2 linked regions of the Callithrix jacchus genome follow. The protein of the gene in region 1 purifies or fractionates together with the protein of each later gene. This does not show direct contact. Links are inferred from orthologs where the notes say so. Each region holds a gene or a part of one and is shown on either strand. Other genes may lie near its edges.

Region 1 (3,066 bases):
AAATTACCTGAAAGGCAAGGAAATGAGAGAAAAACAAGTGTAATGATTTTTGAAAACAGTCTTGTCGTTTCATCTGGTTGTCTGATTCTGATGCCAGCCTGGATTTAGCCTGTGAGTGTTTTATTTGTCTCCCTATTTCAAGTAATCAAAAGTTCAGGTCACTGAAATAGGCAACAAAATTAAAGTAATTTTAGAGTTGGATGAGTCTATACATGGTTAATTTTGGATTGAGATGAATGGGAAGTTAATAGGTAGAGAGCAGATATCTGAACTTTAAACTCTTGAAAGGAGATGTATGGACAAGAATTGACTTTGATCTTAAAACCCTTTTCCCTGAGCATTCCTTGAAATGGTGTTGCAACACTATCATCAACAGCAGATTAAATGCCAATTTAGGATGCACATTTTGATTCAGAATATTGGTGTAGGCTGCCATTGCCTCAAGGTGGTGGTGATTCAGGCTGTTCTATGCTGGCCTTTTGTTTGCTATTTTCCTTTTTTGTAGTGTAATACTGTTTGTTTATAAGGTTAGAAGTTTTAGTCCTTAACCTGAAGGTTGAAGATAATGTTGTAACTTGGCAAATTTATAACTATCCTAGTTTTAGGTAGTCCAAAATTGGGGCCCTGTAATGGGCTTTATAAAAACATATTTCCTCTGTTAAATTTTTTAAAAAAGAGAACTTTTCTTAGTCATTAGTTCTTGAAAAAGTCTAGCAACTTTTTAGCATTTAATAAGGAAATATTAAAACCAGTTGGTAATGAAAATTCTGACACTGGAGATACATAATATGTTTGGCCATTTATTTTACTGTGATAATGGCTAAAGACCAATGAAGAATTTTTGATAATATATAGTGATGAGAAATTTAATATATAATATGATATTTTAAAGAGTAAAGATCTCTTAAGGTTTAGAATTTAGTGCTTTACTAAAAGTAGGTATCAGGCTGGACTCAGTGGCTCACACCTGTAATCCCAGCACTTTGGGAGGTAGAGGTGGGCAGATTACTTGAGCCCAGGATTTCTTTTTTTTCTTTTTTTGAGACGGAGTTTCACTCTTGTTACCCAGGCTGGAGTGCAATGGCGCGATCTCGGCTCACCGCAACCTCCGCCTCCTGGGTTCAGGCAATTCTCCTGAGTAGCTGGGATTACAGGCACGCGCCACCATGCCCAGCTAATTTTTTGTATCTTTAGAAGAGACGGGGTTTCACCATGTTGACCTGGATGGTCTCGATCTCTTGACCTCGTGATCCACCTGCCTCGGCCTCCCAAAGTGCTGGGATTACAGGCTTGAGCTACCGTGCTCAGCCGAGCCCAGGATTTCAAGAGCAGACTTGGTAACGTGGAGAAACCCCATCTCTACTAAAAATAAAAAAAATAGCTGGTCATGGTGGCAGGCCCCTGTAGTACCAGCTCCTTGATAGAGTGAGACCCTGTCTCCTCCACACACACACAAAAATCATAGAATTTATAATGATTAGTTATATTTACTGTATTAGGTAGGTATTGGCTACTTTAGCATAGAAGAAAAAAGAAAGCTTATGGTTTGCTTTGGTAATATGAAGTTATGGATCTTTAAAAATTCTTTCACTCCAAGACTTATGGATATTTACATACAGGTTTCTTTCTGCAGGGCACCTGTGCTGGTTGCACTTGCTTTGATTGAATGTGGAATGAAGTACGAAGATGCAGTTCAGTTTATAAGACAGTGAGTATGAAGTTTTGTGTTCAGAAATACAGAAAGGAAGATCATGAATGAGGAAGGAATTATGGAAGTGGGTATTCATTTGTAGTGTGGGATAATTTACTTTCTTTGGCTTAAAGTGTTATTTGAAGATGTAAAAACTTTAGAGCAAGTGATAGAGACTCAGTACAGCTGGCTTCCAGATTTAAAAGACTTTCTAATTTGGGTGGCAAATTTGGACATTATAGAATATGTCCAGTATATTGTTTGAATATCTAGGAATCTCGAAAATGCCCCTTTTAATAGATTCCAAATACCTTCCAAATGCAGTTCTCTATTAGGAGGAGGCAAGAAGAATGTATAGAGGAGCAGTTAATCACCTGGGTCTCTTAAGTGATCTGTTCAGGCACAAAATCAGGATGGTAGTGCCCAGACAGGATCTTGGCATCTGGAATAATGAGTCTTCCATTTTATTATCCAGAATTATTTGACAATTTTTGTCTTGCCCTTTCCCTTTGAACCTTTCATTTAAAAAATGAAAACCAAAGAAGAGACTATTTGTGACAGAAAGCATGAAATAATATATGGTAGCGGCTTTAGGAAGGTAACACATTTCAAGGAATGTCATCAGTGTATGTCTTGAGCCTGCTTCTTTATCTTATTATTTTTTAGCATCCTAAATATTTGCTACCAACTCTAATCTGAAGAATATATCAATCTAATTGGGAAGAATATAGTCAGATATTTCTGGATAAACTATTCTGATCTTTATTAAATGGTTAATAGGCCATAATGATGGTCAGCAAGGAAAATTTTTCTTTTCCTTCTTCTAGGAGGACTCAAAGTTCATGTTGCAACTTAGCTCTTAAGAAGTGTTGGCCAGGCGCGGTGGCTCATGCCTGTAATCCCAGCACTTTGGGAGGCTGAGGCGGGTGGATCATGAGGTCAAGAGATCGAGACCATCCTGGTCAACATGTGAAACCCCGTCTCTACTAAAAATACAAAAAATTAGCTGGGCATGGTGGCGCATTCCTGTAATCCCAGCTGCTCAGGGGGCTGAGGCAGGAGAATTGCCTGAACCCAGGAGGCAGAGGTTGTAGTGTGCTGAGATCAAGCCATTCATTACACTCCAGCCTGCGTAACAAGAGCGAAACTCCGTCTCAAAAAAAAAAAAGAAGTGTTATAGTGTGAGAAATGTGCTGGTTTTCAGCTGTGTGGAATTAGAAAGGCCTTAGGACATAAATAATGCATTTCAGTGAATCAGACAGCTCTTTTTTTACCTGATAAAGTTTGCTATTCTTGTATTTTCAGAAAAAGAAGGGGAGCATTCAATTCTAAACAGCTGCTTTACTTGGAGAAATACCGACCTAAGATGCGATTAC
Region 2 (4,110 bases), about 44 Mb from region 1:
GTTGATGGTCACCTTTTACAAAAGCAGAATACATTAATTGAAGTCAATGGCTTATAAAGAATTTAAGGCCGGGCGCAGTGGCTCAAGCCTGTAATCCCAGCACTTTGGGAGGCCGAGGCAGGTGGATCACGAGGTCAAGAGATCGAGACCGTCCTGGTCAACATGGTGAAACCCGTCTCTACTAAAAATACAAAAAATTAGCTGGGCATGGTGGCGCGTGCCTGTAATCCCAGCTACTCGAGAGGCTGAGGCAGAATCCCTTCCACCTGGTAGGTGGAGGTCGCAGTGAGCCGAGATCAGCCACTACACTCCAGCCGGGGTGACAGGAGCAAGACTCTGTCTCAAAAGAAAAGGAAGAAGAAAAATGTTCTGACCAGACACAGTGGTTCAGGCCTGTAATCCCAGCACTTTGGGAGGCCCAGAGGAGAGGACTGCTTGCATCCAGGAGTTCAAACTACAACAAATGATTTCCTTCCTTCCGGAGTTCAAACTAGAACAAATGATTTCTTTCATTCCTTCCTTCCTCCCTTTTTCACTAGAACAAATAATTTCCTTCCTTCCTTCTTTCCCTCGCTCCTTCCTTCACTCCATCATCCCTCTTTCTTTTTCTCTGTCCCTCCCTCTCTCTCCTTCCTTCCTTCCCCTCCCTCCCTTCCTAACTAGAATAATTTCCTTCGTTCCTTCCCTCCCTCCTTCCTTTTTTCTTTTCTTTCTTCCTGTTTCTTATTTATTTATCTCTCTCTTCCTCCCTCTCTCTCCCCGCCCTGGCTCACTGCAACCTCCGCCTCCTGCGCTCAAGACATTCTCCTGCCTCAGCCTCCCAACTACGCTGGGAGTACTCAGCCTCTACGGCCACTACGGCCAGCTAATTTTTGTATTTGTAGTACAGGCGGCGTTTGCTCATACTGGTCATGTTGGTGTGGAACTCCTGACCTCAGGTGATCCGCCCGCATCGGCCTCCAAAAGTGCTGGGATTACAGGCGTGAGCCACGGCGCCCGGCTCAAATGATTTCTTAAAAGCAACTCAGATATCTAAATATTATTTAAAGCTGTTGCTAGACAAATCAGACTGACTACAGAACGTGAATATGGGCGCCAGAGACTTTGGACGCAGGCAGCTGAGGACACCTATGAACAATCAGTGGGGTCCTACGGCAGACTAAGAACCGCTCTGCCTTTCAGGCGGAAGTGTGGTCAGCTATATCGGAGGGCGGTGGGGGCCTGAGAGGTGTTTCTGCGCAGGCGTCCGGCTCCTAAGTCTACCCAGGAACTGACCCTTCTCGCTCTTTTCGCTGTTAGACATGGTAGGTGTGCGTTTGGTGCTGCTGTCCAGATGTGTTGGTAGCAGACAGGGTGGTGTAGGGTTGAGCAGACTGATCGCGGTAGGTTTTCCTGGTGCTGGAGAATGGTTAAGACACAGGTATTGTAAGGTTTCTTGAGGGTGAAATATTACTCAGCGTTTTCTGCAGACCTCGCGGGTAATTTCGCTTCTAATTTTACCCAGGCCGTCTTCTCTTGGGAGGGCCTGTTAAGAGTTGAGTCGTCCGATTTCTTAATCCTTCTAAAAAGCTAGGGCTGATTGATGGGTTTTTTTTTTTTTGGAGGGGGGTGTCAAAAATTTCTTGGAAATCGTTAGTGATGTGATCTCGCTTGACGGCCTCGTAGATTTTTTTTTTTTTTTTTAAGAAGGGGTTTCACCATATTGGTCAGGCTGGTCTTGAACTCCTGACCTCAGGTGATCCGCCCGCCTCAGCCTCCCAAAGTGCTAGGATTACAGGCGTGAGCTACCGCGCCCGGCTGTCCTCGTAGCTTTTTGATGGGATTAATGGAAACTTCGGTACTTAATCATTTCCGGTAATCTTCATGACCTAGTATAGTGACTGCAGTGTACTCTCAATAAGGAAGATAGAGATACGAAAAGAACTAGAGCGGCATCCCATGGGGACTTCTGCAGATAGACTCGGATTAAAGGTGGAGAAGATGGCGCTAAAGGAAATGCTTATTTAGTCTATTTGAACATCTTTTGGGGTACTTAGAAGGTGCTTTGAAACCTGCATTTGATTAAGCAAGAATTTGCTTGCAAATTAAGGGCTAGCTAGATTTTTTTAAAAAATGATTTCTACCATACGTAAACGGTAAGTTGTCCTGAAATGCTAAGCTTTGATATTCTATTGTGTTTATTTTTTTCGAGACAGTTTCGCTCTTGTTGCCTGGCCTGGAGTGCAACGGCGTGATCTCGGCTCACTGCAACCTTAGCCTTCTGAGTAGCTGGCATTACAGGCGTGAGCCACCGTGCCCGGCCTAGTGTTTATTTTTACTTACCTTTTTGAATGAAAAACGAACAAAAAATGCTGGTGGTAATTTTTTGGGTCGATGATGAGCTGGCATGTATTCTGAATCTAAAGTTGATTATTACTACTTTAGCTCTAGAATTACTCTGAGACCTGAAAATTACCTGAATTGTGACTAAGATGGAGCTTGAATCATTTAAGTTCTTTTTTTGTCATAAATATATACATACCTATACTTTATTTAGAGTCAGGGTCTTCCATTGCCCAGGATGGAGTGCTCCATCTAAGCTCACTGCAGCCTCAATTTCCTGGGCTCAAGCCATCCACCTCAGTCTCCCTAGTTACAATTTTTAAATGGAAGGTTTTCCTATTGCAAGGTGAAATCAACTGAAAATTGTAGAATCTGCTGTGGGGCAGAACGTTGTAAAGGTAAACATTGAGATTACTGCTTTTTTATTTTGAAAGGGCACTCCACAGAAGGATGTTATTATCAAGTCAGATGCACCAGACACTCTCTTATTGGAGAAACATGCAGATTATATCGCATCCTATGGATCAAAGAAAGACGATTATGTACGTATGGTTTTTTTTTATGTTGGAAAGTTTAAAGAAGCGTGACAGTCATAAGCAGTGAGGGAGTGTTTATAGTCATCTTAAAACGGTATCCAACTCCATTCAGAGAACTGAGGATGTGCTGTGCTTTTGGATTTCAGTTAAGCGTGCCTTGAATGCCTGAGGTTGTGGACTTACTAGAATCATAGTTCTGGCCGGGCGCAGTGATTCACGCCTGTAACCCCAGCACTTTGGGAGGCTGAGGCGGGCGAATTACGAGGTGATTGATGCTGGCCTGACCAACATGGTGAAACCCCGTTCCTCCAAAAATACAACATTAGCCGGGCGCGGTGGTGCTTGCCTGCAGTCCCAGCTACTCACCTATACTGAGAGTGCTCACCAGACAAAGTAGATGAGGGTTTGGGGCACAAACAGGTGTCCCTTTTTGTAGTTAGGAGTAAGACTTTCAAGGTCAATGATGTTTTGGCATGTCTTATCTGAATCTACTGCTGATGTGTAATAACACTTGAGCTCTAGAATTACTCTGAGGCCTTGAAAAAGTTTTACCTTAAATTTTTAAATTTTGAGGAAAGCTCTCTGGGACAATCTTAGCCAAAAGTAGTAAACAACTTAGTTAAGATAAATGTTTTTCCCTGTGGTATCCAAGCTCAATTGTGTTAAGCTGATCTGCTGATATTTAGGATATATGGTATGTATTAATTTTTTACTTGAGTGTTAGGTTCTCATAACCTTGAAAATACTGGAGTAGCAGTCATGGAGTCAAGGTCATACGGATGGGGCCGGACTTGTTTCTGCCTTTACCTGCTATCTGCATGCTCTGAATTTGGGTTAGTAGCGAACTGAGCTGCACTACTTCTTAAAACGTCATTTTGAGAGAACCTCACTTTGTTGCCCCGACTGGAGGGCGGAGGTGTGATGTGGGTTCACTGCAACCTCCACCTCCTGGGTTTAAGTGAGGCACCTGAATAGCTGCGATTACAGATGAGAGCCACCATACCCAGCCACAAAACTTCTGAAAATGTAATGCATTGTTGAGTGTGGGAAGAATTTGTTTCTGGAATCTTAATGTTCATGTACCATTGATTAGCCAGTGTTTTATCTGAGCTTAGACATCTTTGGCATGTTTAGGCCATTTTGGTTTTCATGTAGTTATATAATTTACTAATAGATAATAGGTTCTGTACAGACTCCACATTAAAATACATGCCTGATAAATATGGTATAGGTACTCTGAAAGAAATATTCT

The links. Proteins that work in one complex are often made in the same cells at the same time.
Region 2: the proteins of PTP4A2 (region 1) and RABGGTB purify together in Homo sapiens (affinity purification with mass spectrometry; 3 studies listed by BioGRID and IntAct, counting the BioPlex papers as one, with this or other methods). This does not show direct contact. The link is inferred for Callithrix jacchus from reciprocal best matches to the Homo sapiens genes PTP4A2 and RABGGTB.

Annotation. Positions count from the first base shown.
Region 1 is NC_133508.1:68,517,412-68,520,477, reverse strand, and holds part of PTP4A2 (protein tyrosine phosphatase type IVA 2), read left to right. Parts: intron 1-1,633; coding exon 1,634-1,708; intron 1,709-2,995; coding exon 2,996-3,066.
Region 2 is NC_133508.1:112,975,411-112,979,520, forward strand, and holds the start of RABGGTB (geranylgeranyl transferase type-2 subunit beta), read left to right. Parts: upstream 1-1,285; 5' UTR 1,286-1,301; coding exon of another isoform or gene 1,302-1,304; 5' UTR 1,305-1,405; coding exon 1,406-1,420; intron 1,421-2,368; exon of another isoform or gene 2,369-2,447; intron 2,448-2,756; coding exon 2,757-2,864; intron 2,865-3,313; exon of another isoform or gene 3,314-3,397; intron 3,398-4,110. UniProt on the Homo sapiens protein: Catalyzes the transfer of a geranylgeranyl moiety from geranylgeranyl diphosphate to both cysteines of Rab proteins with the C-terminal sequence -XXCC, -XCXC and -CCXX, such as RAB1A, RAB3A, RAB5A and RAB7A.